Tamandua tetradactyla: one gene and its partners. The protein of the gene in region 2 interacts with the protein of the main gene of each other region in a biochemical or structural test. Links are inferred from orthologs where the notes say so. Each region holds a gene or a part of one and is shown on either strand. Other genes may lie near its edges. The genes, in order: ETS1, CREBBP, STAT1 and TDG.

The links.
Region 1: the proteins of CREBBP (region 2) and ETS1 form a complex in vitro, tested with the Homo sapiens proteins (3 studies listed by BioGRID, with this or other methods). The link is inferred for Tamandua tetradactyla from reciprocal best matches to the Homo sapiens genes CREBBP and ETS1.
Region 3: the proteins of CREBBP (region 2) and STAT1 form a complex in vitro, tested with the Homo sapiens proteins (5 studies listed by BioGRID, with this or other methods). The link is inferred for Tamandua tetradactyla from reciprocal best matches to the Homo sapiens genes CREBBP and STAT1.
Region 4: the proteins of CREBBP (region 2) and TDG form a complex in vitro, tested with the Homo sapiens proteins (2 studies listed by BioGRID, with this or other methods). The link is inferred for Tamandua tetradactyla from reciprocal best matches to the Homo sapiens genes CREBBP and TDG.

The regions. Positions count from the first base shown.
Region 1 is NC_135334.1:8,005,374-8,013,012, reverse strand, and holds the start of ETS1 (protein C-ets-1), read right to left. Parts: upstream 3,009-7,639; 5' UTR 2,806-3,008; exon of another isoform or gene 2,797-2,805; intron 483-2,796; exon of another isoform or gene 72-482; intron 1-71. UniProt on the Homo sapiens protein: Transcription factor. Directly controls the expression of cytokine and chemokine genes in a wide variety of different cellular contexts. May control the differentiation, survival and proliferation of lymphoid cells.
Region 2 is NC_135349.1:53,354,515-53,362,127, reverse strand, and holds the start of CREBBP (CREB-binding protein), read right to left. Parts: upstream 3,008-7,613; 5' UTR 2,910-3,007; coding exon 2,825-2,909; intron 1-2,824. UniProt on the Homo sapiens protein: Acetylates histones, giving a specific tag for transcriptional activation. Mediates acetylation of histone H3 at 'Lys-18' and 'Lys-27' (H3K18ac and H3K27ac, respectively).
Region 3 is NC_135329.1:164,781,547-164,789,230, reverse strand, and holds the start of STAT1 (signal transducer and activator of transcription 1-alpha/beta), read left to right. Parts: upstream 1-4,671; 5' UTR 4,672-4,902; intron 4,903-4,959; exon of another isoform or gene 4,960-5,324; intron 5,325-7,684. UniProt on the Homo sapiens protein: Signal transducer and transcription activator that mediates cellular responses to interferons (IFNs), cytokine KITLG/SCF and other cytokines and other growth factors.
Region 4 is NC_135333.1:174,111,072-174,119,077, reverse strand, and holds the start of TDG (G/T mismatch-specific thymine DNA glycosylase), read right to left. Parts: upstream 3,002-8,006; 5' UTR 2,713-3,001; coding exon 2,690-2,712; intron 2,586-2,689; exon of another isoform or gene 2,516-2,585; intron 1,751-2,515; exon of another isoform or gene 1,291-1,750; intron 1-1,290. Other genes in the region: UQCC6 (ubiquinol-cytochrome c reductase complex assembly factor 6), read left to right, coding at 7,250-7,357. UniProt on the Homo sapiens protein: DNA glycosylase that plays a key role in active DNA demethylation: specifically recognizes and binds 5-formylcytosine (5fC) and 5-carboxylcytosine (5caC) in the context of CpG sites and mediates their excision through base-excision repair (BER) to install an unmethylated cytosine.

The DNA of each region.
Region 1 (7,639 bases), on a different chromosome or scaffold from region 2:
CTCACACTCCTTGGGCGTAACCACGGTCCCACCACTTATTCAATCGGCCCTAACACTACCCTTCTCAACAGGGACGCCAACAGCGCACTCCTCAAAGATGTCAGCGAGGATTAAGGAAGTCGTCCCTGCAAAGCACCTAGCAAAGAACCTGGAAGGCACCTGGTGCTCAGTAAACATCAAGGATTATATCCTTCCGCAGTGAAGTGAGAAAGCCATATGCAGAGAATCAGCTAGATTAGAAAGCTGAGCAGCAACAAGGCTATAAGGAGTAAGGAGGCAAAAAAAGAAAAAAAGAAAAAAGAGCTAGTGTTGAATATCTCGGTTTCCCCAGGATGGAAGAAACCTACAAGATTTGCGTCAAATGCCCTCAGAGACATACCACTAAATTGCTGCAGGCCATATTTGTTTTTCTCAAATACTAAATAGTTTTGAATTTCCATGAAAGAAAGAGACAGAGGCAGAGAGGAAGAGAGGATAAGAGAGAAGGAGAGAGCGAGAAAGGGGGAAGGGAGGGAGGGAGGGTAGTAGGGAAAGAGGGAAGCAAGGAGGGAGGGAGGGAGGGAGGCCACAGACACCCCAGCTCTAGGAAATAACCATCCCTTCTGTGGTTTGATATGAATAATTGGGGATTCAAATGGGTAATTAGAAAAGGATAGTTGCTGTGGGAAACAGATCTGTTCAACAATAAAGAATATTATGAGGTACAATAGAACCTGAATTATCAGTAAGGAATTCGCCAAGGCATTGAACCTCTAAGTGCAATAAAGAGAAACCTAAGGGCCAATGATTTGTTTCCATAGTATCTCCTGCCCTCCCCTAGGGCCTGCACCCATGCACCCTGTTTGTTATAATATTACTTCTTCCGCCCCACTTCCTTACTGACGCTTTTGTTTTGTAAAGCTCTATGCTATTTCTTTCTATTCTCTCATCTTTGTGAAACAGGCGGGGCACATGTGGTTGTTCACATTTTAGAGATGAAGAAAATGAGGCACAGCCAGGTTCAATAGCTCATTCTCAGTTAAACAGCTAATCTGGGGCAGGCCATGGTGGCTCAGTGGCAGAGTTCTTGCCTGCCACGGTGGAGACCCGGGTTCGATTCCCAGTGCTGGTCCATGCCAAAAAAAAAAAAAAGCTAATCTGTAACAGAGCCCCAAATGCCCATCTACCACTCCAGACTCCAAACCCAGCACTGGTTCCGGCTCTGGCCACACTCGCCTTTGAACCCCATCGTGGTCTCCTGCTGGTAGTGGGTCCGGTGCGACTGTCCAAGGCCACAGATGGCCAGACATTGAAGGACTCCAGCCCCTAACCCCCCTCTCCCAGGCTTTACTCTTTGAACTCTCTGCCTCTCCACCATCTTGCACCTTAGCGCAAGGAGCGTGTAAATGTCAAAGTAACCTCTCAGTAGGTTCCAACTCAGCCTCCCACTTCCTCAACAGTGGAACCAGCAGGGATGAGGCTGCCCAGCTGCCCTCGCTGTGTTATTTCCCTACAGAGTTGGTGAAGATGGAAGTTGCTGATTTACATGTAGAAGCAGCCAGTTTCTTCAAATATTAATATTAACCACTACCCACTGAACGCATGAGAAGACCTTTTCATCTTCAAAGTTCTTTGCAGTCATTAATGCATTAGCTGTCCCTTCCCTCCTCTGTAAGAACAGTACCAGTAGCGACCCAGCAGCTCCCAGTGCATCACACATGCCTGCAGGAACGAAAGGGTTTTCTGTTTAGATAAAGAAGAGGCGATGCAGTCCGGAACCACAGCTGATGAAAGAGCTGAAGCATCAGTAATTTTACAAATCAAATGGAGCTGCCAGATTATCACTGTAGAATCTGTATTTCCTGTTGTTTAACAAACATCTTTTTTTCCAGTTGCACAGAGGCAGAATGAAAAAGAAAAAATGACCTTGAGAATTAAAAAAAAAGAAAGAAAAACTTTGTCCACAAAGTAATAAGGAAAATTTACAATCAAATGCTTTGAGCTCAGTGACCCAGCATCTTTTTTGAGCAGTTTACCCACCTAAATGCTACTTTAAGAGGAGGTCGCAGAGGAATTTTTACAGTAGTTGAGAAGCGACTTGCAGAGTGGATGAAAAACTGAGTGGCGAAGAGTCGCCATCCGCAGATCCTGTTTCTCCTAAGCAGCTACTGAAGTCCGGCTTTCCAGTCGCAGACAGAAATGCCCCCCTGAGTCTGAGACACACCCTCCCTCCAACTACAGTCCAAAGGATTATCAAACCCTTGGAGAACTGTCAGAATCAGAATGGGGAAAACACCAAAAAGGTGAGTTTGACTTGCAAGATTCCAACATTTATTAATTGTCCTCTCCATGAAAGCAATTCATTAAGCTTCACTATGCAAAAAGAGAGAGAGAGAGAGAGAGAGAGAGAGAGAGAGAGAAACAATAGGCTTGCTAGGAATGAAAGAGAAAAAGAGAAAGAAATTTCAATCTTTTAACTGTGGCTTCATTTCTTTGGAACTGCTCTGATGCACTAAGAAAGAATCCTGAGTTTCTGACAAGTAAGCTGCAAGTAACTAAACCGTGAAGGATTTGGCTTTTATAAAGACAGGAAGACAGTGAAACATGGTCTTGATTTCAGGTTATTCGGACAAGGTTAGGAACTATTTTCTGAAAATAGTCATGAAATAAACAATTGAATGGTAAATAAAGCACAATGCGAAAAGAAAACCAGGTTTTATCCTGAAAGTCCTCGTCAACGTACCCTTTAATTCCACAGAGTGGGGGGGAAAATGAAAAAGGAGAATGGGCTCAAAAGTTTTAGGCAGAAACTCACACCTCACTTACTACTTTGCTGGAGAGACAGAGTGAAGAGTAGATCCTGAGTGAGCTTCCCTCACGGTCCGTGGTCTCTTTCCAACTACCTGCGGGAACCCTCTACTCCGGAGCTAAAGAGGAGGCGAAGACCATAATGTTTCTAATAGAGCTGCCTCCTTAAATTGGGGGGTGTGGTCAAACCAGGGAAAGCTGGAAAAATGCAGTCTTCGTTAGTTCCTGGCACCGCGCGCACAGGGACAGGCGCTGTGGTCTAGAGGGAAGAATCAAGCGGCATTTCTGGCTGTGGTTAACATCAAATACACCTTATTTCCTAGCCCTCAAATTCTGCTGCAATTAAATATACCTCACCCGGGGGTGGGAAGAAAAAGAGGGAGATGCCGAGAAGGCAACCAGCTCAGGAGGAAAAGGCTGTTATCATTGGCTAATGCATTCGATTTACTCTCTACTGAATGTGTCCGTATTCAAGCTTTTCAAATTTCTTGATTTTCTCAATGGAGTCCCTGCTGAATCTAGCCGGGGGATAGGAGGGCTATAAAACCAGGTCAGAAAGACCTGTTCCTTTTCTCTGTTAAGTGGCGGGCACGCAGGATGCCTACACTCAGTCACCTCTCCAGCCTCTTGCTTGTTTCTCTCAACCTGATGTGAAATTCGATATTTCCTAAGGAAAAAGCAATTGTATGGAAGAGAGCTGACTAAGCACCGAGTGGGAATTTCTGAAGAGTAAAGCTCAAATACGCTTTTCCTGTAAATCTGGCTTGGGGTGCTCTCTAGAGTAGATTACTCTTACTGACTGATTCGTGGTCCATCGTGCAGGAATAAAAAGGCAGAGATAGTCATATAGTTCTAGTCTAGAGAAAATATAAACAATACAAAAATCTTGCATCTGTTCTAGGTGAGGATATACACCGTCTTTCATTTACTATTCAAGAGTGTAATCTCATTTCTATTGATACGGTTATTTCATGACAGATTTCTTTGGAAAGTCAACAGTTGGCTGCTTCGTCTAGGAATTTTATCCTAAAAGATTTTATTTTCTGTGAGTAATAGATGGGAGCAAACATTTGTCATGGTGGCCACCTTTTTTTCCTTTTCAATGGAGACACAAAAGCACAACTTTGAAAGCTAGTGAAAATCTACTAAACCATCATCCAGCAGTACTTTTTGTTACATAAAGCTGGTAACACAGTTCAGATGTTGATGGGATTCAAACAAGGTTTTACTGCTCATCTTTTGGCTTTGCATGTTGCCGTGGCTTGGAAGAAAGGAAGAGATGGTGCTGCTTGTTCAATTTAATAAATGTCTGGGTCAGGCACTGTGCTGGGAACTAGAAGTATAACAAAATTCATTTTGTAGTGGGAAGACAGACAAATAAATGAGCCATCTCCTTAAAACGCGATGTATGCTGTGGGAGAAGTCTATGAAGAGAGGTACTGAAACTTCAGCCAACCTCCCCTAGCCTGGTAGGTTCCAACCTGTAGCCCCCATTCAAAGAGCCTATGGTCAATTAAAGCAATCACAACTGTTACAATTGTATTCTCTGTCTTTTCAGAAGAGGAAAGCAAAAAGCAATGCAGAAAGAGTTGGACTGTTGGCCTAAAGCAGGTACAGAGTGATAATTGAGGGACTATGGAGTCTGGGGTTGCCTAGAGTTTATATAGGGAGTAACCCTTTGAAATATGCCAGTTCCATCCTCCGCCACTACCTATCTTGTGTAAAAGACAGGAGGAATCTTTTTTTTTCTCACTTTTTTATTGTATAATATAGCATATATACAAAGCAAAGAAAGAGAAAAGCACTAATTTTCAGAGCACTCTTCAACAAGTAGTTGCAGGACAGATCCCAGAGTTTGTCATGGGCTACCATACCATCCTCTCAGATTTTTCCTTCTAGCTGCTCCAGAACATTGGAGGTTAGAAGGAATATATATATATATATATAATCACTTTTTTCTTTTTTTATGAAAACAACATATATACAAAAAAGCAATAAATTTCCACACACAGCACAACAATTAATTGTAGAACAGATTACAGAGTTTGCTATGGGTTACAATTCCACAATTTTAGGTTTTTACTTCTAGCTGCTCTAAGATACTGGAGACTAATAGAAATATCAATATAATGATTCAGCAATCATATACATCTGTTAAACTTTACCTTCTCTGTATAACTCCACTTTCTTCCATTCTTTAGGGATAATTGGGCCATGCCCATTCTAACTTTTTTGTGTTGGAAGGGGTTGTCAATAATATGGGCTAAGGAGATGGAACTAGCTGATGTTCTGGAGAGGCTGGGCCCTCTAGGTTTCAGGACTTATCTGATCCAGGAACCCATCTGGAGGCTGTAGATTTCTGGAAAGTTACCCTAGTGCATGGAACCTTTGTAGAATCTTATATATTACCCTAGGTGTTCTTTAGGACTGGTTGGAGTGCTTTCCATTGGAGTTTGGCAAGTTATGATAGGTAGCAACGTCTAACTGAAGTTTGTGTAAGAGTGACCTCCAGAGTAGCCTCTCAATTGCTATTTGAACTCTCTCAGCCACTAGTAACTGATTTTCTACACTCCTCTTCTCCTTTTTGATCAGGATGACATAATTGATCCCATGGTGCCAGGGCCAGACTCATCCCTGGGAGTCATCTCCCATGCCACCAGGGAGACTTTCACCCTTGGACATCAAGTCCCACATAGTGGGGAGGGCAATGATTTCACTTGCACAGTTGGGCTTAAAGAGAATGAGGCCACATCTGAGCAACAAAAGAGGTCCTCCAGAGGTGACGCTTAGGTACACCTATAGGTACGCTAAGCTTTTCTGCTACATACATAAGCTTCACAAGAACAAACCTCAAGCTCAAGGGCTTGGCCTACTGATTTGGGTGTCCTTAATGTTTGGCTGCTTCGTCTAGGATCAGGCTTTTCCCCAGTGGTAAAGTTTAATAGTTCCATATTTTTGCTCCCATCCCTCAAAGAACCTTGCCAATATTTTTTTATTCTCTCCTTCATGTATTCTGGGATGTATCCAGGCATTACATTAAGGTATACAGAATTAAAGGCTCATTCTTATTCTGAACTCCCTGTGTTTTAACTGTTTAAACAAGCTATCTAGACAGGTTGAGTTAGATTGTGTGCTACAGAAAATTTAAGTTCTGGACAAAATAACTTTTCTTTATTTGGCCTTAAAGAGTAGATGAAGTTCTAAAATCTAGACAATGTCTTCCTTACCCCTATGTTCTGAATTACCTTAATCTCGACCTGATCACCTTTGTTCTTATCTCTGCATAGCAGGTTATATGTATATAAAAGAGCTTCTAAAAATCCAGAAATAATAATTACCGTTCTAGACTAAATAAGACTGCTATAAGAGCTTACAATGTAGGCACCAGTTTTCTTATAAGCATTTTCTAAATGAGACGTACAGTAATTGCTCTTTTGTTTCTGGCTTATTTTGCTTCATCAAATGCCCCACAGATTCATTCATAATGTTGCATGCCTCACAACTTCGTTCCTTTTTGTAGCAGCACAATATTTGATCAAATGTATATACCATTGTTTACCAATCTACTTATCAGTCAGTGCATGACAAGTAGGAACCTGAATGGTTCATATAAGTCACCATGCTTAAATCACCTAGAGATGTCCAGAGAAAACAGGAAGTTTTGCTTTAAAAAGTATCTTCAAAAATGTAGCATTAGAGGGAAGTAGACCACCCACAGAGGTTATGCTTTCTGATCCACATGGATTACATAGGGCAAAAGTAAAATGATCCTCTTGAAGAAAAGGGCATGAATTCATAAAAAGGAACACAGGATCTGAGACTAGAAAACCTGGCTTTGCCTCCCTCCTCCGCTCCCTATGTTCTAAAACCTAAGTTTGGACATCAGTCCCAAAAAGGGTAATAATACCAGTCCAACTTGACAATGTTATTGAGTTAACTGAATAATTAATTGGATGATTGTGCTAAAGTGGGAAGGCAACACTGATCATTCATTTCCTTGTTCTGCTCTACTAAAGGACCTCATTTAAGATGACTGTAGACTTTAAGATGTTCAAGAGAGCGATTTGGGGGACATGTATACCTTTTGGCCACCATGTAAAAGAGTTATACAAAAAGAGTCGCTTGTGAAGGTGCATCTCCAGAACCCAACCCAAGAGGGCGATTTCAATATCTTGTAGATGAAATTGTAATAGGGCCTGAATAAAACTTATTTGCTGTTCTAATGTTGAAGACACCTTGTTCTTTTCTTCTGTCTAACAAGCTACATTGCAAGTTAGTATCTACGAAGAGGAAAAATGGAAAAGCTGAATTCCCAGAATCTTAGCTTTGCAAGGACCTTCGACCCTACCAACAGCCTTCCTCACTCCCACCTTAATTCCCATGAAAATGCAGAAATCCCCTTCTAGGAAACGTATAGTGGTTCTTTAAACCACTCTCAACACATGAAACAGTTACATTTGAAATGAAAATGCATTCGATTTGATGAGAAACAAAGAAAAATATCAGCCATTTATTGCATTTTGCATCTCCTCTCTTCCCTTCCATTTCACTTAGAACAACTTCCAGTGTTTCAGAAGACTCTATATATGCAGGGAAGCAGGAGCTAAACAAATTATCAAAACTGGCAGGGAGGGGGAGTGGTAAAATTCAGATACAAGCATAGTCAGCACCAAATTTCCAAGAGGCCCCAAAAGATAAGATGAAAGGAAAGCGAAGGGTAGAGAACCTTTGTCTATTGACGCTCCAGCTCTGGAACTTCTTATCCTGTACTTTGCAATGAATGTATCTCTTCTCCGTGATCAAAAGCTAAGCTTTGGTCTTGAGCCACAGATGGATCAGCAGGACTCACACA
Region 2 (7,613 bases):
ATGCCATTGAATCCTGTTGCTATTTCAGAGTTCAAGTTTTAGTGGGGTGAGCGCGCTATCTCTTCTTCCTCTGGCTATCCCACTTTGGGGCAGGCTCTCCTCAGAAGCCTTTGCAGCCCTCCTCAGTCTCCAGCAGCTCCCACTCGGCCACGGAGGCCATGGCACTGATCCCACGCTGAGCTGCTGCCTGGCATCCCTGGAGTGTTTCAGGCTGGCACCCACATTCTTGGGCTCGCTGGCAAGCCCCCTTTGAGCAGTACCCAGGCTAGGAAGCTTCCAAGGTCAGGGGTACCATTTTCTCAATGGCCCCTGCAACCCTCACCCCAGATACTTCAGACAAACACTGATGCTCCCCGGGCCAGAACCCTAGACAGGCATGCATCATGGCAGTCCTGCCCTCACCTGGCTGCCCTGCTTCCTCCCAGCTCCTCACCTCTTCCCATGATAAGTCCCCTCCCTCAAACACATACCTTGCTCCACCTGGCCCAATTTTCTCCTGGAAGCCTCAAGGAGACATCCCCTCAGGAAAACAAGGTTGAGTCTCTCAAGAATGTATTTCCCAGGTCTCTCCCCAGTTTCCCACCCAACAAATAAATTCTTCACTCTTCTCAATGTATTTAGTGTAATACTTCAGTCATTTCTTTACTTAATATCCAATCTCTGTTCATCTCATTCCTCCATGCTTAGGTGACAAGGTTGGACAGTGTTAAATTTGCTTGCTAATGATTCTTCCTTGGCCCCCACACCAACAGACCCTTTTGTACTGGTGTGATGAGGATGAATGCCTAGCCAAGGACCCGCACTTAAGTATGATCATGAATTTTATTCTTAGAATAATTTAAATCAGCGCCATTAGAAACTGACTCTCTTATTCCACAACTGGAAACATAACGGGACCCATTTTTTCCTTACCATCAAAAGATGGTAGGAAGAAAATGTGGTTAAGAGTGGAAAATCCTTTCTGATAAACTCTGTTGTACCTAACAGCACATTAAGTATCTGGCCGTCCAGTAACAGAATTACCCCAAAAAGCCATCCTTGGGGTTCTGTCTTAGAAACAGCTAGAGGGAGACAGTAGGAACAACTAACTCTTTTTGTTAAATGTCATGTTACTAAATTGTCCGCCTTTGTAAAACAAAACCTACAGTAACTTCATTCAACAAAAGAAAGGTATCACAGCCATTCAAAAGTTACACAGTTTCAGAAGATAAGCTGCACGCTGATGGTTCTTAGTATGATTGATTAAAAATTTCTCACTCAAACATGACAGGATCCAATGAAGGAAAGAAGGGGGTCTACTCTGCAGTGTTGGGGCACTTAAATTATGGCTGTTTGCACATTTCTCACTTCAAATAAGTGATTCCTCATTTGAGAGAAACTTACAAAATTAAAGTCAAACTAAGCTCCTTATCAGTTTAAAAATAGAGTATTATTGGTAACTTATATATACTATGAGATTCATTTTCTACCCCCCCAGTGTTTAACAAAATTTTAACTAGACAAAAACTCACTTATGACTGATTTTTTAAAAATATTTTCCCTCACGTCTACATTAACTAATATTACATGCCACTTTTCCTAACTGGATTCTAGAGAGTGTATGAAAACTGAACCCACAAAAGTCGTGCTGTTTCAACAGAAGAAACAGATTTTTGTATCTGAAAATGGTCAGTCACAGAAATATGTCTACAAGTTGCACAGCTGTGTCTACTGCAAATCTGAAGACACTGCAGCAGCACTGTAATTCAATTTGGATCCATTCATTTTAAACTGATTTCAGATGCTGCTACAGCAGACAGCACTGGAGAAATGCAAGTTGCAATGAAGAATGAACTCATTCCCAGAGGTACCAGAGTTTTTACTGCATAAGAGAGCTCTAAAAAGAAAATACACCTAGTCCATAATGTTACCAGGAGAACCTGGACTTATTAAACGATCAGAAAACTAAAATACTCTTCTTAGGCAACTGATACAATTACCTAAGAAAGTTTTCATGGAAGTTGCTGCATGAGATTAAAAAAAAGTAACTGATTCAGTGCTGTGCTAAAACTGTTTGAAAATGATCATTCCTACACTCCTTAACATAATTCTTTGCAACAGCTACATCCTAAAAGCAACACAAGCTCAAATGACTGCGGCTCAAACAAAGCTGCTACACAACTTTCTTTTAAAATTACACATGGAAAATTCAATACGCCACAGCAACTTTCAGGGTATCTTGCTAACCAAGTTGGAGGCTTTGAAAAAGCGGAATGACGACTTTGCATTTTTTTTTCCCCAAAGAACACATTACAACTTTTAAGTCATAACTCACGAGCTGGTGTGTTCAAAGCGCAGCGTTACCTATTCAGAAAACCCAGCAAGTCAGTCCCTTCCGGCTGCGATCTTTCCCTGCCCCGACCATACAGCGTACCCTCCACTGTCATTCCTCCAGACAGCCGCGCGTGGGGGAGACACACGGCCGCGGAGGGACGCGTGGAATTCTGGCACACAAAGTAAACACCCTCCACTTTACTTTTCCTTCCTCCAGGTCCCGCTCGCGGAGGGGACTGACCGGGTCCGGGAAGCCTCAGCGCCCGCAGGCATGTGCCGCCCCGCTCGAGCCGAGTGACAGTCTCCCTCCAACTTCCACCTCGGGCCGAGGGGGAGGGCCGCGCGGGCCAGGGCTGAGCCGGGGCGGCCTCTGGCGCTCACGCCCACTACGGAGTTCCCTGCGCGGCCGCCGGCCCTCCCGCTTAGACCCCCGAGCCGCAGGGTGGCAGCGGGGGGGGGGGGGGTGACAGCTCCTCCCCAGGGCCCCCGGAGTGCGCGGCCCCCTCCTCACCTGTGCTGTCATTCGCCGAGAATCCGGGCGAGCTGAGTTTGGCTCGTTTGGGGTTGGGCGGTCCGTCCAGCAAGTTCTCGGCCATTTTCACCTGCTCCCGAAAACAGCCCCGAGAGAGGGCTCCGGGGCGGGGGTCGGCGCCGGCCCCGGCCGGCTGCGAGGGGAGAGGAGCGAGCGCGAGCCGCGAGCGCGGAGAGAGGGAGGGCGCAGGGCCGGGTGGGGGAGGCGGCGGCCAAATCTCAGCCACAGCAACAGCGCCCCGCAGCGCTCACCGCCCGCCCCCGGCCGCCGCCGCCGCCGCCGGCCGCGGCCCCCTCATCCCCTGCCCGCCTCCCGAGCGCGACACTCCGCGGCGGGGGCGCCCCGGCGGCCCGGCCGCCTCCCCGGGCCCGGCTGGCAGCGACGGCGCCCGGCCCGGGCGGCTCAGGCAGTCCCCGGGAACATGGTGGTGCCGCCGCCGCCTTCGCCCCCCCCCCCCCCGCGCCCCACTTAATTAATTCGCTCGCGGCCCGACGAGGAGGGGGCTCCGGGGTCCGCTCCCCGCCCGCGGCCCGCCGCCGCCGTGAGGAAAAACAATGCGCCAAGCGGAGCCGCGGCCGCCGCCGCCGCGGCCCCCCCACCCCCCGTTCCGCCGCCGCCGCCGCCGCCGCCGCTGCCGCCGCCGCCGCCGCCGCCGCCGCCGCCGCGGCTCCGGGAGACCGAGCCGAGAGGCGAGCGAGGCCGCCGGAGCGGGCGCCGAGGGCCGGGCGGAGCGGGCCGGCCGGGCGGAGCGGGGTGCGCGGGCGGTTGTGGGGCCCGGGACCGGCGGGGCCGAGTAGATCGCGCTCGAAGCCCCGGTCGGGTCCGCGACAAGATGGCGGCTGTTGATTCCTCAATTAAAAAAAAAAGAAAGTTTTTTTTCTTCTCTTTCCAGAGCCTGAACGGGGAGGGGGAGGGGGCGGGGCACGCCGGTGCGTCACCCCTCCGCGGCGTCACCACGCACGGCCCCCGCCCCGCCCCCTCCACCTGCGCCGGCCGCGGCGGAAAGAGCCGAGAGCTCCCGGGCGGAAAGGGCCGAAGGCGCGGGCGCTGTACGTGGTGCCGCCGGGCGGCGGGGCTAGGGCCGGGCCTGCGGACCCAGGGCCGCGCAACCACTTTTGTTCTGGCGGCGACTTGGTGTCGAGGGCCCGGGCGCGCGGGCTTGGCGGGGCTGGGGGCGGTGGCCTCGTCCCTGGCTGCGGCCTCGAGCGGCGGAGTCTGCGCCGGGCCCGGCCCGCGCCTACCCCTCTTGGGGCGCCCGTGCCTCTCCCCGCGCCCCTCCCCCTCGGGCATGTCGGGCCGGGAGGGCCGGGACCACCCGAGCCGGGGCCTGGTCTCGCCCCCTCGCCGGACGTCCGCGAGGTGTAGTGGCGTTCGCTGGCTCCGAACAGCCTCGCGTGCACATGAGGAAACTGAGGCAGGGGAACTTATCCCGGGGAGGCTGGAAGGGCCACGGGCAGTGGGGTCCTCTGCTCCCAGGTCTCACGCGCCGACACCCCCACCTGCACCAGGCGGGGCCCGGCGCCCGCTTGCCCCCGCAGGTGCTCCAGGCCAGGTCGGGGTCCCGGAGGTCTCCGGGGCCCGCGCCACAAAGCCCCGAATAGGGCGCATCCCGGCTGGTTACTTGCCGGCGCTGCAACCTGAAATCCTTATCTTTAAAGTGTCATCAGCTACCTGGTTTCCTAACCCAGAAACCTGTGAGTCAGCGCGGCCCCTCCCTCCCTCTCCGGCCACGGCGCCATCAGGCTCCCCACGTCCTCCACCTGGGGAGGCCGCCCCGACCCCTCCCCCCGCCGCGGCCCCCTCCCCCAGTCCCGCTGCCGGCCGCGGGGACAGCTTTCCACTCAGTGTTTCTCGCGCTCCACGTCCCCCCCCACGAAGCACCAGAGTTAACTTCTTGAAAAAAAAAAAAAAAATCTGATTAAAGTACACACCCAAAGGGCTTTCTTGGAGTGTTGGACTAAGTGATCTTTCTACTTTTTTTAATCTGTTTTGTTCACAGCCTGTGCCGTCGCTCCCGCTCTCTGTTCCCCACTTGGCCATCAAGACACCAGGAAGGCCTCAACGTGGGGGCCCTTTTAGTCTTTCGCAAATTCCCTGTGCCGGGAACACGTGCCTGGCAAACCCTAATCAAACCTCACCTACTTCAGGAAGCCCTTCTAACCCTCTTGAGGTCTCCCACAGCACTTTCGGGCATATGTGAAAGGACACATAGCTCGCTCTCATGTTTTGTCTTTCTGTCTTTTGTCCTTTTCACGGATTTGTGTTATTATTGAGTCATTAAATATTTCTTAAAAATCGACTGAAGGCATTAGTATTCAGGTAGTCACCCAGGGCAAAGAATAAAGGAAGAAACCCCTGTGTACTGATAGAGGCCAAATAGCAAGACCTGAAAACCATAAACAGAAGTGGTCCTGAGGTCACTTTGCCCAGGAAAGGCAGGAAGCAGATCGAATCACAGAGTAACCCCGTGGGGTGCAGGACCCCCTGGATCTGAACGCCCTGTCTGCATGTCAGTCTCACCCCTGCAGCCCTTCAGGGCAGGAGCTGTGTCTCAGTCACAGACCAGGGTAAAACTGGATGGATGAATGAATGAATGAGTGAATGAACATGTCAGGTTCCCCTGAGTCCTACCAGCTTCCAGGCCGACTGAAAATGTTGGGGCCCAGCAAGCAGCAGCTCTGCCCCTCTCCCCCCCCAAGAAGACAAGGTGTCAGACCACCTAAGGACCTGCCTTGGGGCATAGGAGGCCACAACCCAGCCCTCGGGATCCCTGGGGTATGCCCGTCTACACAGTGGTCAAGATATACCCCATTTTACTGAGGCGGAAACTGAGGGAACCCAGGCTCCGTGCCTTACAGAGGACAGTGACTGGACAGGTCCAGTGGGCCTGTGACACAGGGCCCCACTCCAAGCCCCCTGCTCCCCCTGCCCCATGCTTGTTCTGCAATCCCTTTTTACTTCCCATTCCTTCTCATTTGTATCCGTTTGAATAGTTTCTCTGGTATTTCCTGCTATCTGCTTTTTCTCCCGTTTTTATTCCTTCTCCCCTCATCCTATACTTCGTCAAAGGACAGTGCATGGGCATTAAGGGGAGAACAGTTGAAACTATAAGTACAGTTCCAGCCTGCACCTCCTTTAGCTTGGGGTCACGGTCAAGACAGGGGAGAGGCCCAGGGGTGTAAACCTCCCTGGCAATGTGGGACAGAAATCCTAGAATAAGCTGGGACTCAGCATCAAGGAATTGAGAAAATCTTCTCCACCCAAAAGGGGGAAGAGCGAAATGAGACAAAATAAAGTGTCAGTAGCTGAGAGATTTCACATAGAGTTGAGAGGCTATCTTGGAGGTTATTCTTACACATTATATAGATATCCCCTTTTTAGTTTATGGTGTATTAGAGTGGCTAAAGGGAAGTACCTGAAACCGTACAACCGTGTTCCAGTAGCCTTGATTCTTGAAGCTGACTGTATAATGATATAGCTTTTACAGTGTGACTGCATGATTGTAAAAACCTTGTGTCTGATGCTCCTTTTATCTACTATGAACAGATGAGTAAAAAATATGGATAAGAAATAAACAAATAATTGGGGAAACAAAGGTTAAAATAAATTGAGTAGACTGAAATACTAGTGGTCAATGAAAGGGAGGGCTAAGGGGTATGGCATGCCTGAATTTTTTCTTTTTTCTTTTGCTGGAGTGACGCAGACGTTCTAAAAAATGATCATGGTGATGGAAACACAACTATGTGATAATATTGTGAGCCATTGAGTGTAACCATGTCAAGAATGTTTGTATGTTTGTTGTTTACAATAAAAATATTTAAGAAAAACAAAAAACAAAAAACGGTGAGAGGGCCCAGGGTTGTTGAGAACCTTCTGTATGCTGGGCCGGTCTGCCAGCAGCTCCATGCGGATGAGCTTTTTCCAGTCCTGGAAGGAAAAGTATTGTCCTCATTTTACAGATGTAGAAATGAGGCCCAGAGGAGAAGAAGTCGCCCAGCTACCAAGTGGCTTACCTGAGTTGCAAACCCAAGGCTGCCTGCTCTTTCCACTCACCTTGCCACCTCCAGCTGCAGGGACAACAGTAAACGACCAAGGAATTTCCATCTACAGAAGGCTCAAGAGCTGAGAGAATGGGTGTGGAGGGGCCGAGAGAGGAGCAACAGGTAGGAATAAGTCAGGAAAGGTTTCCTGAAGGAGAGGCTATTTGGTGGAGAGAGGCCATTTGGGTCCACCAGTGGATGAATGGATAAACAAAATGTGTTCCATCCAGACAATGGGATAGTATTCAGCCATGAAAAGGAACGGAGTTCTGATACGTGCTGCTGCATGGATGAACTTTGAAAACATAGTGCTCAGTGAAAGAAGCAGGATATAAAAGGCCACATAGTACATGATTCCATTATTTGAACTTCCAGGTAGGCAAATCTGTCGAAACAGAAAGCCAGTCAGTGTTTGCTTGAGGCTGGGTGGCGGGTGGGGGGTAGAAGCATTAGGAGGTGATGGGGAGCATGGGGCAGAGTTTCTTTGGGGGATGATGGAAATGCTCTAAAATTGAATGTGGTGATGGTTGAAGAATTCTGTGAATATACTAAAAGCCATTAAATTGCACGCTTTAAATGGGGGGGATCGGATGGTATATGAATTATAGATCAATAAATTTTTCTTTTAAGTCAATTTAGAAAGAAAGAAGAGAGTCAGAGAATGGAAGAGAGAGGGAGGCAGGCCCTCTCAGCAGAAGGAATGGAAACAGGTCAGGAGTCTGATTGGA
Region 3 (7,684 bases), on a different chromosome or scaffold from region 2:
GCCCATTATCTTACCCTGTTTCTACCTCCTGCTGGACTCTGTTATCAAGGACATATTCCAAATTTATTCTCGAATGCCCATTCATATCATTGGGACCATACAGTATTTGTCCTTTAGTTTTTGGCTAGACTCACTCAGCATAATGTTCTCTAGGTCCATCCATGTTATTACATGCTTCATAAGTTTATCCTGTCTTAAAGCTGCATAGTATTCCATCGTATGTATATACCACAGTTTGTTTAGCCACTCTTCTGTTGATGGAGATTTCGGCTGTTTCCATCTCTTTGCAATTGTAAATAACGCTGCTATAAACATTGGTGTGCAAATGTCCGTTTGTGTCTTTGCCCTTAAGTCCTTTGAGTAGATTCCCAGCAATGGTATTGCTGGGTCGTATGGCAATTCTATATTCAGCTTTTTGAGGAACCGCCAAACTGCCTTCCACAGTGGTTGCACCATTTGACATTCCCACCAACAGTGGATAAGTGTGCCTCTTTCTCCGCATCCTCTCCAGCACTTGTCATTTTCTGTTTTGTTGATAATGGCCATTCTGGTGGGTGTGAGATGATATCTCATTGTGGTTTTGATTTGCATTTCTCTAATGGCCAGGGACATTGAGCATCTCTTCATGTGCCTTTTGGCCATTTGTATTTCCTCTTCTGATAGGTGTCTGTTCAAGTCTTTTTCCCATTTTGTAATTGGGTTGGCTGTCTTTTTGTTGTTGAGATGAACAATCTCTTTATAAATTCTGGATACTAGACCTTTATCTGATATATCATTTCCAAATATTGTCTCCCATTGTGTAGGCTGTCTTTCTACTTTCTTGATGAAGTTCTTTGATGCACAGAAGTGTTTAATTTTGAGGAGCTCCCATTTATTTATTTCCTTCTTCAGTGTTCTTGCTTTAGGTTTAAGGTCCATAAAACCGCCTCCAGTTGTAAGATCCATAAGATATCTCCCAACATTTTCCTCTAACTGTTTTATGGTCTTAGACCTAATGTTTAGATCTTTGATCCATTTTGAGTTAACTTTTGTATAGGGTGTGAGAGATGGGTCTTCTTTCATTCTTTTGCATATGGATATCCAGTTCTCTAGGCACCATTTATTGAAGAGACTGCTCTGTCCCAGGTGAGTTGGCTTGACTGCCTTATCAAAGATCAAATGTCCATAGATGAGAGGGTCTATATCTGAGCACTCTATTCGATTCCATTGGTCAATATATCTATCTTTATGCCAATACCATGCTGTTTTGACCACTGGGGCTTCATAATATGCCTTAAAGTCAGGCAGCGCGAGACCTCCAGCTTCGTTTTTTTTCCTCAAGATGCTTTTAGCAATTCGGGGCACCCTGCCCTTCCAGATAAATTTGCTTATTGGTTTTTCTATTTCTGAAAAATAAGTTGTTGGGATTTTGATTGGTATTGCATTGAATCTGTAAATCAATTTAGGTAGGATTGACATCTTAACTATATTTAGTCTTCCAATCCATGAACACGGTATGCCCTTCCATCTATTTAGGTCTTCTGTGATTTCTTTTAGCAGTTTTTTGTAGTTTTCTTTATATAGGTTTTTTGTCTCTTTAGTTAAATTTATTCCTAGGTATTTTATTCTTTTAGTTGCAATTGTAAATGGGATTCGTTTCTTGATTTCCCCCTCAGCTTGTTCATTACTAGTGTATAGCTGTAGTTTTCTTTTTTTGTAATATCTTTGCCTGGTTTTGGTATGAGGGTGATGTTGGCTTCATAGAATGAATTAGGCAGTTTTCCCTCCACTTCGATTTTTTTGAAGAGTTTGAGGAGAATTGGTACTAATTCTGTTTGATTTTTAAGCAGCCAATATGATAGTCACATTTATAAAATACATGTAGTTTTCCGGTCCAGGATCTTACAATGTTGGCTAGATAAGATTCGGATGCTTCAAAAACCATAACATAAGAGAGTGTGTGTTTTCTGGGAAGGTGTTTGTCAAAATAAGTAAAGACACTAATTTATTATATTATTTCAGAGACTAGACCAGTCACCACAGGTTCAGGTGGTTCTGGAAGGAATATAGGATTTGGGCTGAGTCTTGAAAGTTGGATAAGAATATAAGTGAACAGGATAAGACGTAGGACTTGTCATTTGGAAAAATAGTAATGTGCAAAAGGGCAGAAATGAGTAGACTAAAAACTCGAGAGAAGGGCAGGGGATAGGTAAATTAAGTTGATTAATGGGACAATGGGACACAGGTGGGAAAGAATGGTAGAGAATCCAGACCAATAGACAAAGTGTTGTGATTATCATAAACGCAGTAGAGCATTATTAAGGGTTTTTATATCAAATAACTTTATCAACGTCGTGTTTTGGGAAATTTAATTTGGCTAATAAATAGGTGAGGAGAAAGAGGCAGGAAGAAGGTAGTCTGCCTAGAGTCTATCATAGTATTCCAATTCTAAAGTTATAAAGCCCTCCAATTCTATCAGGGCTTATAATGGGATATGGTCAATGACAGTAAAACAAAGAAAGATAAAGGCATAGAGTAGGAAGCACCCGTAGAACTTGATGACAGGATGGAAAGAGCCAAAAAGAGATGCCCTATTTGCAGATATTAGGATTGTTCAATTCCCACACCAACCCTGAAGCGATTCTCTGTGCAGATTTTATAGTACCAGAAGATTTTTTTAACTTGTTATCAACCCATCCCAGGGTTGGCTTTTCTCAGAGAACAATACAACATTGCATCGGCCCTTCATACAGGTGAGCAGAAGGTGAAGGGGCTTTCCAGTTGTTTGCAGCCCTTTTAGTGGTCTGGCATCTTTTTGTATACATGGCTGGTTCACCTTTACTTTGGTACCAGGGACATTCCTATCAGTACTGGCTTTGTGAGGGTGCAGGTGTGACAAGAAGATGGAGTACAGTGGGACCTTGTTTTACATTAACTCACACATCCTAATTTAGGTATATGTCAGTGGTGATCTAAATAATGAAGGCAGAGTGAATTAAAAATTTTTTAAATTACTTCTATGATTAATTTTGTTTTCTTAATGTTACTAGAGTGTTTGCTTTATTTATTTAAAAATGTGCGGTAGCTACGTTCATATAAGAAATTAAATAATGGGGTTTGCTATTATGCGCAAGCGCGATTTCCAATTTACTCAAAGGGTCTTGAAATGGTATTGGTCACGTAAAACGAGGTCCTACTGTATTATAGATGTGGAACTAGTTAAATACGATAATCCACATTGATATGCATATTCCTGGTGAATGATTTAAATCTCGTAGGAGAAGACAAACTCTCTTACCCAAAATTGCCTTATTATTCAAGGCTTGATTCAAATCTTTAGCATGTGAAGGAAGAAACCAATTGGTTTTATGGACACATTATCCAGGAAAACCTACTTTAACTGAGATTTTAAGCTGAGAAGTAAAATATGAGTTAGCCAGCGAAGAAGTTGGGGGAGGGAAGGAGTTGGCCCAAGGGACTTCCCAAAGACGGAGACCTGCTGGTGAGAAGGCCCTGCAGTCCCTTTCTGATGGGAAAGGTCCTTTTATGGCGCACAGGGGGAGGAAGAGCATGACATGTGAAGAGCAAAAAGGTTGAAGTAAGCAAAGGGAAGAACAGCACAAGATGGAGTCAGAGAAAGTGATAGAGAAATCAGGGCTTTGTATACTAAGGAAATTTTGATCTATTAGAATGGCAAAGAAAAGCCATCATAGTATTTTCAGGTCACAATGACATGACTTGCTTTGCAATTGAAAAAAAAAAATCTTTCAAACTATTGTATGGAGAGTGGATTAAAAGGGGCTAAGAACAAAAGTGAGGCAGCCATTGGAAATCTACCACAGAAATCCAAATGAGAGATAAGTGAATGGGGTTTGAGAATTACTTAGGAGGAGTACCAAGGCTTGAGGATCAGGTATAGGGGTGAAGAAGAAGAAAAAGTCAAAGATGAATCAGATTTCTGGTATGTGCTATTTCTGGGGGAAAAAACAGGTTTGAGGAGAAAGATGGTGAGTTGGGTTCTAAAAATAATGAGCTTGCAGAGCCTGTGAAACATCCTGGTGGATTGTACATGGTGTGCAGCTAGCTCAGAGAAGTGTGGACAGGATGCATAGGGGACCCCACGTCTAGAAAGCCATTGGAGCTATGGTGAGGCCACCACGGGGCAGTTTGAGGAGACACGTAGGTAAAGAAGTAGATCAAGGTACGCGCCTGACACCATTTAACGGTTTGGCAGTGGTGGTGGAGGCAGCATGAAATAGCAAAAGAATGACACAGAAGTAGGAAGAAGCAAGGCGGGTATATCATCATTGTCAAGGAAGAAGGGTTTCAAGTCAACTGTGCCTGTGTCTGAGAGGCCAAGTGTGAGGCAAGGAAAGCGTACCCTGGGTTTGGAAACATGGAGGTCAGTTGGATTGAGGACGTCCCCAACTCTGTCCTCTGCCTCAGGTTCTGAGTATGGGGCCAATGCAGGGATTTCCAAGTTTGGGTCTTTGCAAACCCAGAACTTCCTTTCAGCTGTTCTCTAAAATTTGTAAAGAGAACCTCCAGTCAGTTAAATTGCAACACAGACTTGTCATTCAGATCATGAAAGCGCAGAACCCGCTTGGAGGGTTAGAAAGGACGCGCTGGCAGGCGGGGAGGCGGCGGCGTCCACGGAACAGCCGCGTCCGATTGGCCGCAGCCGCCGGGTGACTGGAGGAGACGGAAGGGGGCCGGGCGCCTCGCGCTGCCTTTTCTCCCGGTTGGTACTTTCGCTTTCCTGCGCAGCCTGCACAGTAGCACTGCCACGTCCGGGTACCGCGCCTGCTAGACCCCCGGCCTAGAAGAGGTGACCCGACGCGTCCGGGAGAGGCAGCATCCGCGCTTCTCCTCCGCTGCGGCCTCGAACGTCCCCTTCCAACCCCTGTCCGGCTCCAGCGCAGAGTGAGTGGGTGTGAGGTCCCGGGACGGGGGCTGTAGAGGCTGTGCAGCTGGACGTTTTCTTCATTTTCACAGAAGGATTTTCTTTGCCTTGTGTCATCCTCGGGAGCTGGCTAGTTTAGAGGCTCGCGCTGTGCATGCACACCCAACGGTCTTGGCATCCAATGTGCTGAGTGTGGCTGCTGCTTTGGTTGGGCTCCCCAGCCCCTAGCACCGTGGCTGGCACAAGGTGGCCGTTCAATAAATATTCGTGGAAACGAATGAATGAGTACATGAGTTTGGAACCTCAATTATGTATATATGTTTAAAGATAAAGGAACTTAAATATCTTCTGGAATTTAAGAGCGGTATTTAGTTCCTGAAGCACCCAAATAACACAGTTTCTCTTTTAAGAGAATTCCGACCAGTTCGGAAGCGTTTTGAAGGTATGTGTGGGGTAGCTGTGTGGTTGATTGCGCTTTGAATGTTATATGCATAGGTTGGGGAGGGAGTTGGTTTTATGAGATAGAAATAAGCCTTAAGCCTCCAGCACAATCCCGCATGTAACTATCCCTTAAGGAGGATGCTGCTCCAAACTTTTTTTTTTTTTTTTTTTAACATGGGCAGGCACCAAGAATCGAACCGGGGTCCTCTGGCATCATAGGCAAGCATTCCTGCCTGCTGAGCCACCATGGCCCGCCCTGCTCCAAACTTGTTGAACCACAGTATGGTTTGCTTTCTAATTCATTCTGAAATTTAAAAAAAAAAAAAGTATTTTGGTTTTCAATTCAGCACACTATTATTGAGCACATACTATGTGCAGGGCACTGACCTAGGTTCAGGGGATGAAAAGAAGATAAGATTTGGATCCTGCAGCTCTGGGACGTCCGCCAGGTAACGGAGACATCATAGAGTTTTACAGGGAAGACTGGGAGGGATTGCTCTAATATAGGGGCGCAGAATGCAACGCCGCACAAGTTGATCAAAGTTTGTTTCTGAGTAAGTGCGTTTTAGACAGTTTTATGGAAGATACAAGATTTCTGGTAGGATTCGGAGAGGCAGAAATTTGTGGAGAGGCTGTTTTCACTACGAATAATAGAGCAAAGCAGATATGTGGGACACAGCTGAAAACATAATGTGGTGACTGGGGATGAGGGTTGCTTTGCTGTTGGATAAAAATGGGGGTGGAGTGGGAATCAGCCTGGGAATGTACAAACCATAGTATCTTTGAGCAGAGGATGATGTCATCCAACAGGTGTGCAGCAAGAGGCTGGACTGGGAAGAGAGAGTATTGGAGACATGGAGGTAGCAGATCTTGAGACTGGTAAAGGAGTCAGTGTTGGATTTGGGGTTCGAGCCAGGTGACTTGGGGATAGTGATACAGCTTCCTCAGGAGTAACAGGATTTGCCATTCTGGATGTGCTAACATTTATTTATTGATCATCTACCCTGTGATGGGGCTTGTGTATGTACTAGATCGGCCAGTGTTAATAACCACCACGTTGATAGGGGAGTGAATCACCTGAGGTTATTAGGTTAAGCAGTGTGGTAGCCTTGGCTTGGCTGACACTTAGTCCAATGTGTTGGCTTTAGGTACATCCTTATTAGACATCTAGCAGGGAGGGAGAGAGCTGCAAATGTGGAGTCTTCTGCTCAGGTAAAATAAATCTGAAGTGAGAAATCAGATTGCTACAACAAGTGTCCCCAGGGGTGGGCCTGAGTGCATTTCTAGTATTATGGGGATAGTAACTGGCATTACAGTTATGCCTGCTTGCATGCACGCACACTCCCATGCCCTATGAAAATCCAGACGTCTACCTCAGAGGTCCGGCAGGACAAAATTCACTTTTGTCTGCTCTGAATGTTGCCAGCCATGCACTGATAGAAATCCTTGGTTATAGCCATGGTGATGGGAAACCCTTCATTATCTCACCCATCTTAGGACTTCCCTAAATCAGGTTTTTGTTTTGTTTTTTAATCTTTAGAGCTGCTGTGTAAAACTTGTCGTTTCAAATTATATTTGTTTCGCTTTAAACTTTAAAATCATTACTGAGATTTAATGCTTTTTTGTATACCAGATTTATTGTTTGCAGAAGACAAAGAGAAAAAAGTATGTCTTTAAAAATGTATAATCCAGAGCAGTGCAACGGTGACTCAGTAGCAGAATTCTTGCCTGCTGTGCCGGAGACCCAGGTTCAATTCCCAGAGCCTGCCCATGCCAAAAATAAAAAAAAAATAATAAAAAATTTAAAAAATGTGTATAAACAAAAATAGTTAATTTTATCATAGGAATCATATAATGTAAAATACCACTTTAAAATCCTTTGAGTTTAGCTACAAATGTACTGTATTTGTAGGGGAGTTAATTTTATCATAGGAATCATATAATGTAAAATACCACTTTAAAATCCTTTGAGTTTAGCTACAAATGTACTGTATTTGTAGGGGAGCAGTTTTTGGAATGGTCTTGCAATTTGTACCAAAGCAAACCTTCAAATTGAAGAATGCTTTATATTACTTTATTTGATAAAAGTAAAGATTTGTTTTAAAGGCATATTAATTGAGCATCTCCTCCATCTGACACTGTTATGGGGATACAGTAGTGAACAAACCCCCTCCCTCTCAGCCCTTCCCCTTATACGTGAGGACAGACAATAATCAAAATGAAAAAGAAAATATATGGTAGGTCAGATGGTACTAAGTGCTATGGAGAAAAATAACTCAGGGAAGAGAGATAGTGTTTTCCAGGATGGGAGGTGGTTATAATTTAAATAAGGGGGCCAGAGAAGGCTTTCCTAATATGTTG
Region 4 (8,006 bases), on a different chromosome or scaffold from region 2:
CACCCTGAAGCTGTTAAACTATTGAAAAACCACAAATTCAGGGAAACAGCTAAATGGCACAACAGATGGACCTCTCTGCAGCCTACCCTCAACTCTTTCAGCAGTAAACTAGTTTAGATTTCACCTGATTTCCAACAGTTGCTATCCACCTTGCCCGCAAAGAAAAGAGGCACAGCACGGCTGTTAGCTCGGGAGGTACCCTTTGGACCCAGACCGCCTGAGTTTATATCTATGTGGGGGCGAGTCCTTAACCTCTCTAGGTCCCCAGCTTACCCACCTGTAAAACAACAATAACCTCACTGGTCTGTGGATTAAATTGTTAACACACATAGGGCAATCAGAACAGTGCCAGGTATATAGTAAACCTGCTATAGCAATAACTAATAAAAATTAAAGATATCATGAGATGATCAAACCTTTTAGGTTCCTTTTCTCAGCATCCCCTGATGCTGTCTAGCTAGTCAGGTTACACCCAGCATCATTATCCCACAAGGAATGAACCTAATCTGGTAGGTCTCTTTTCTGAACTTACACTATAATACAGTGATCACTAGTTTCTTTTAAGAATGCTCAGGAACTACTAATAAGTAAAAATTCAAGCAATTTGTTCAAGAACAATGTCAATAAATTAGAACACAGATTCCACATTTTGGGGGGAAAGGGACTAATGTGTTTACATTCAGGCTTTAGGCCCCTGACCTACTGCGAAGATGTGTAAATATTCAAAGACTGCTATAATCTGGCCTCTCACTTAAAGTACAATTCATCTGGGCCAAGAAATATGATTTCATTAGAGCAGCTAAAAGCTTTCTTATGGGCATTCATTCTGCTATTTGCAGGCTGACAATATTTTTCTTAAGATGGGAGGCAAAAAACCAAAATCAGAACTGAATATTTACGATTCTGCTGTCATTGCCATGCCACAGGCCTGGACAGAAAATCCAAACCCTTCTCATCTTTCTTGTCCAAATCTAACCAAGAAAGCCCTATCTGGTCTCTTTTAACAATTCTAGAGAACCTGACGTCATCCGAGGGCTACTCTTTCCTGTCGACAGGCTTAGAGGTCCATGCCACTCTTGATTTGGCATCCAATTTCCCATCTTTGTAAACGTTCCTTATTGGTCCCCTTATATAATTCCTCCTTTTCACCTGTCTGGGTTAGTGTGTAACTGCTTCTTGTGACTCTTGAACTATTTTCCCTTCTTAGAGTCTATATCAATGGAATATTTTTCTTTAAATCTTCTGCAAGAAATCTTTAGAAATAAAGAGTAAATTAAAGAGTAAATTTACTCTATTTAGCATTCCATTCGTTGATGAGCACAAACTGGAGGGTGACAGGGAACCACTTTCTCAGAATTTCCTGGGGCTTGTGCCATTTTAGAGCTCCATTTCAGAGTATCCACATAGCACCCTCCATTATCTCTGAAAGGTTAAGTTTGCAAGTAAAAAATAAAAATGTTCTACAGCCCTACGGGGATGAGGCTAAGACAGCATATTCAAGCCACAGCTTTGAACTAAACAGTACAGCAGAGTCCCATATTATACTGTAAGACACTGAATGAGGTTTCATAATGTGTAATTTATTTGCTGATAGGTGTTACCCATTTTTCAGTTTTCCGTTGAAGTAAGATCACAAAGATGAGAGAGATTCCACGAATTCCGATGAATTCTCTTATTTGTAAAGTTCTTCGGGGAAAGAAGTGGAATATTTTATTCCAGAGTTTGACCCACAAAATCAGGCTGTTCCACATTTTATCTGTTCCCAAACTCTAAGACAATTTTGTTATGTCAGCGTCCCCCTTTGACATACCGATTCCCAGCATGTCAGCAGTGGACTCCAGAGACGGCCTTAATTCAGACACGAGGAGGCCCAGAGAAGTTAAGTGCCTTGCATAAATTCAGGGTCTCTTAGCTTCTGAGCCTCAGAATACTTTTTCATTCGGTTTAGTAGTATTTTACTCCAAGCAAATCTTCAAATATTTTTCTTTTTAAACACCCTATCACCGTGCCTAATTATTTATTTTCTCATTTGGTTTCTGCCAGGACTCTAAATCTCTAAAGTTCTGCTTTTGCAAAATTTCCACTCCAAATCTAACACTCCCCAAAGGACACTTAAAGACAGACTCCTGCGCTCGTCCCCGAGACCGCCGGTAAACTCGGCCTCGGGGCGCCCTCGCGGGAGTGTTCCACACGTTCCCGGAATTCAGCGGCTCGGGCGCAGCACGACGACCTGTCCTGCGACCCTCGCGAGTGCCGCCACTGCACTTTCCGGGGAAAGCCACAGAGCACCTCCTCGCGTAAAGACAGACCCCCGGAGGCGCTCGGAGCCGGAGCCGGTACCTGCCTCTTCTCTATGCGGACCTCGCCACGCGGTAACGGAGTGAGAACTGCTGTCCTGAACGCAACCGGAAAGAAAGATTACCCGGAGACTGACGGTAGGCAACGAACGCATTTTAAAGCTAACTAGATGTGACAGGAGGCGGGGAAGCGGGGCTCGGGGGTGCCAGACACCGACCCTGAGCACTGACGGCCAACGCGAAGGCCCCAGTGCGCACGCGCGGCCGCGGCCTTTGTGTTCCGGCCGCAGCGTTGAAAGCGCCCCGCGTGCGCATGCGTGTGCATACGTGCACGCGCGCGCCGCACCTCCGCGAGGGGCGCTGGGGGAGGGGGGAGCTCCACCCGGCTTTACCTGCCCGCGTTGTCCGCCTCCATTCCCGCTGTCGCTTGCGTGAGCAGTTTCCTATCAAGCTAACGAGAGCCTGACCTCTGCCTAGCCCCGTGTACTGCGGCGGACGACGGTAACCGGAGCCCTGGGGCCGCCGGCTTCAAGAACTGGCCCAGTGGCTGGCGCTTAAGCTCCTCCCCAAGCTTCTGGTTCCCCTCCCCCACCCCAAGTCCGCGCGGCGGTTCCTTCTGCGCGGAGCCAAGTGCACGCCTTGTGGGCGTTAGGTGACGCTCGGTAGCCCAATCACGTTCGCCCCTCCTCGATTGTCAGTTCCGCCGCTGAGCCTTTCGGGAAGGTGGCGGAGGAAAGTAGGCGGGGCATCGTGCTGACGCAGCTGTTCTGCGGGCGCCGACGCCTCCGGGGCGGGGCGTGGGAATGGGGACTTCTGGGACGCCGGCGGGGGGGGGGGGTGCATTTGAGCTCATTGAGAACCAATGTATCTAGTCTTTTCCATCCAAGACTCGATTACGGTTAAAACTTTTATCATAAAACTGTGTTTTGCATTAGCTAACAGTAATTGACGGGATGTAGAGGAAAGAGACTTTGAACTCGGAAAACCTGGGAAGCAAGGCTTTACCACTGTGTCATCGTGAGCCTTGTTTCGTAACATAAAATGAGGGTGCTTGTGAAACTGCTTTGTGAAAGGTAAAGCTCTGCATGGAAATTCTCTTATTTGGATGAAGTCTGAAATCTGTGATAGTACACGTCACGCAAGTATCTGTTCCTCCTTACAGCCTCCCAGACTCGCCCGTTTTCTTTCTCAATGGCTCTTGTAGCTGTTTTTCGTTGTTAGTTGTCAGTTTCCATCACTGATGTTTGCACAGGACTCAAATAAATCTTAATGGAGACAGATTTTTCTGTTTCTCTAGTTTGCGAGATAAAAAAATACAACTACTTTATTAGCTTTCCCTAGTTTATTCTGTGGTAACAGATAACTCCAGAATACTAGTGGTTTACAGCAACAAAGGTTCATTTCTCACTCGTGTAACATGTTGGCTGGGAGAGGGCTAATGCTCTGTGCTCCATGTGCTGTCTTTATTCTAGGATCCAGGAAAAGGCTTTCATGGAGAGTTACGGCAAGATTATATTATATTGACTGTTTAAAGTATTACTGAATCTTTGACACTTCTAAACTTTATGGAACTTTTTAAAAACACCCTGTCCAATAGGAAGATCTTAAGAAAATCCCCAAAGAGTTGAAAAAACGAACAAACTTAATCTATGACACAAAGAAAATCAAAAGAGAAATTAGAAAGTATTTTGAACTGAACGATAATGAAAATATATAAAAAATCGTGGGGTATCTCTAAAGTAGTACTTAGGGGACATTTAGAGCACTAATTGCCTATAGTAGAAAAGAAGAAATGTCTCAAATCAACCACCTCATCTTTCCACCTTAAGAAACTAGATAAATCAAAGCAAATTAAAATCAAAGTAAGCAGAAAAAGGAAATAAACATCAGAGTGTAAACTCAGTGAAAAATCACAGAGAAAATCAATGACATCAGAAAAGAGCAATAAAATTGATATAGCTTGAGCGAGATGGATACAATGTGAAGAAATGAGGATACAATGTGAAGAAAAGAGGATACAATGTGAGGATCAAAGAGGTGAAATAATTACAGTCTCTACAGATATTAAAAGGATAATAAGGGAGAAAAGTAATAAGGGATTTGTGTACAATTTTATTTCTATAAATTGAATAGCTTAAATGAAGTGGGCAAAATACTTGAAAGATACAAATTCCCAAAGCTCATTTAAGGAGCAATGAAGAATCCAAATATCCCTATATCTATTACAAATTTTGAACTTGTAGATAAAAACCTGCCCACAAAGAAGACTCAAGGCTCAGATGGCTTCATTGGTAAATTCTACCAGACACTTAAATAAGAAAGAATACCAATTCTGCCAAACTCTTCCATATTGAAGAAGAGGGAATAATTTCCAACTCATTCTATGGGGCAAACCCATATTACCAAAAGCAAAGACAGTACAAGAAACTACACATCAACATTTCCCATGAACATAAATGAAAAAAATTCTGAACAAAATTTAGCAAATCAAATCCAGCAATGTGTAAAAAAGATCTTGGATATACATCAACGATAGAAGAGTGCTTTACCATCTGAAAATCAGCTGTACTTCATCACATTAACAGATGAAAAAACAAACCAACCATGATCATTGCAGTAGATGCAGATTAAGCATTAACAGCAACATCCATTTTTCTGATAAAAAGTTTCTACAGCTTAGGAATAGAAGGAAACTTCCCTGCGAACTTCCTCCATCTAATAAACATCATCTACAAAAAACCTACTCTATAAACCTATTCTTTATTTGCAGATCACATGTTGGTTTATGTAGGAAATTCTATAGAACCAATTAAAAAAGCTACTAGAAGTAATAAGTGAGTTTTGCAAGGTTGCAGGACAAAAGATCAATATGGGAAAGTTAACTGTAATCCTACACACTAAGAACCAACAATCTAAAAAAAACATAATTTACAAAAATATAAAAATATAAATACTAGGGATAAATCTGGCAGAAGATGTGCAAGACCTGTATCCTGAAAACTATAAACCATTGCTGAGAGAAATTAAGAACTCAATAAATGAAGAGATATATTGGGGTCAAGAGTCAAAAGACTACATACTATTAAGATGTTAATTTCCTCCGGATTGATCTGGATTCAGTGCAATCATATTCAAAATCCCATTAGCATTCAGAAGTCTTATTATTTATTTTAGAATTTTAACAATCTGGTTCTAAAATTTATATGGAAATGCAAGATCTAGAATAGAATAGCCCAAATAACTCTTAAAAAGAACAAAATTGGAGGGCTTACTTCCTGATTATAAGAATTATTATAAGACAATAATAATCAAGACAGTCCTATCAGTGGGTCCATGTATATATGGACTCATACTGGAGTTTACAAATAGATGGACAACTGCCCAGACAATTCAATGAGGAAGGAATAGTCTTTTCATCCAAAGGTGCTGGAACAACGGATATCCATAAGCAAAAAACCATTGACTTGCATCCATAAACAAACTCAAAAGAATACACAGTAGAAAATCTTTGTGACTCTGGGCTAGGCAAGGATTTCTTAGATATGACACTAACAGTGTCAAATATCGGGCTTCATCAAAATAAAAAATTATGTTCTTCAAGTCACCTTACAAAAAAAAGAAAAAGACTAGCCACAGACTCGAAGAAAATATTTGGAGGTCAAATAGCTAGTTGATAAGAAGTACCTGTACCCAGATATATTTAAAAAAAAGTTCAAAGTCAATAAGATTCAATAAGAGAACAACAGAACTTTTAAAATGGGTGAAAAATCTGAACAGACACTTCACCAGTGAAAATGTAACTTCCATGACACGCGGCTCAATATCATTAATTATGAGGGAAATTCAAAGTGAAACCAAAATGCAACACCATTACCTAGTTATCAGAACGGTGGATATTTAAGACTGATAAGACTTAAATGCTGGAGAAGATGTGGAGAAACGGAACTCGCATACACTACACTGGGAAAGAAGTTGGCAGTTTCTTAAGAAGTTAAATAAACACTTATCGTATTCCGCAGCCATTCTATTCCTAGGTATTTACCCAATAAAAACGGTAGCATATGTTCGCAAGACTTGTATATGAATTTTCACAGCAGCTTCATTCATAACAGTCGCAAACTGGAAACAACTGAAAATGTTCGCAACAGGCAAATAGATATACCAATTTTTGTATAGAAATACAATAGGGATTCACAATAAAAGGAGCGAACGACTGATACACACGACGTGACTGGATCTTCAAACAGCTCTACAGCATCATGAGCGGATGACGGCGTCACACCCGGTAGAGTCCAGAAAGCAGACCGCGGGCCGAGAGGCCGGGGCGGTGGGCGTGGTGGGCGGGCACCGCCGGGGCGACGAGAAACTCTTCGGGTGATGACCGCTTCGCGATCTTGAAGGACCAGGCGCCTGCGCCTTCTTTCGTGTGCGCTGAAGGACAAACGACGCAGTGACCTGGGCTGAGGTGTGAGCGCGGGTCGGCGGGGACCCCAGGCCGGGGCGGGCCTGGGAGCCTACAGCCCGGGACCCTGGCTCGGGCTGCCCCCACTTCCGCCCGGGCCACGTGCTCGCGGCGCGGCGTCCCGGCTTCCGGTCCGGCGGGGCTCCCAGCCCGTGCGCTCTCGTTCCGCCCGCGCGCCGTCCGCCGCGGCACCCGAGCGCCCTTCCGCCGCCGTCCGCGCGCTTCCGCCGTCCTCCGCGCCCTGGTGAGCGCCGCGGTACGCGGGGCTGCCTGCGGGTTGTGGGGGCTGAGAGAGCGCGACGCGGGCAGCGGGGCTCGGCGTCCTGTTCTCTTCCCCCAGGGACGCCTTCGGGGCCGAGAGCGGGTACGCGGTTGCGGCCTTGGCCTCCTGGGTGCCCCGCTCCGGGAACGCGTTAGCGGCTCGACGGGGGCGGGGGAGCCGCTGCGGGGACCGCGCCGCCTGAGCCCGGCGTCCCCGCCCGCCGCCGCCATGCCCGCGGGCACGCCCTGGCCCGCCTACCTGAAGCTGTTCGCGGCCGGCCTGTTGGCCATGTGCGCTGGCGCCCAGGCGGTGCACAGATGCTACCGGCCAGACCTGGTGAGGGGCCCGGGGCGGTGAGGACGCGGGCGGACGCGGTGAGGGGCCGGGCGGTGAGGACGCGGTGAGGGAGCCGGGGCGGTGAGGACGGGGTGAGGGGCCCGGGGCGGTGAGGACGCGGGCGGACGCGGTGAGGGGCCGGGCGGTGAGGACGCGGTGAGGGAGCCGGGGCGGTGAGGACGGGGTGAGGGGCCGGGGCGGTGAGGACGCGGTGAGGGACCCGGGGCGGTGAGGACGCGGGCGGACGCGGTGAGGGGCCCGGGGCGGTGAGGACGCGGGCGGACGCGGTGAGGGAGCCGGGGCGGTGAGGACGCGGTGAGGGACCCGGGGCGGTGAGGACGCGGGCGGACGCGGTGAGGGGCCCGGGGCGGTGAGGACGCGGGCGGACGCGGTGAGGGACCCGGGGCGGTGAGGACGCGGGCGGACGCGGTGAGGGGGCGGACGCGGTGAGGGGCCGGGCGGTGAGGGAGCCGGGGTGGTGAGGACACGGTGAGGGGCCGGGCGGTGAGGACGAGGTGAGGGGCCGGGCGGTGAGGACGCGGTGAGGGAGCCGGGGCGGTGAGGACGCGGGCGGACGCGGTGAGGGGCCGGGGCGGTGAGGACGCGGTGAGGGAGCCGGGGCGGTGAGGACGCGGGCGGACGCGGTGAG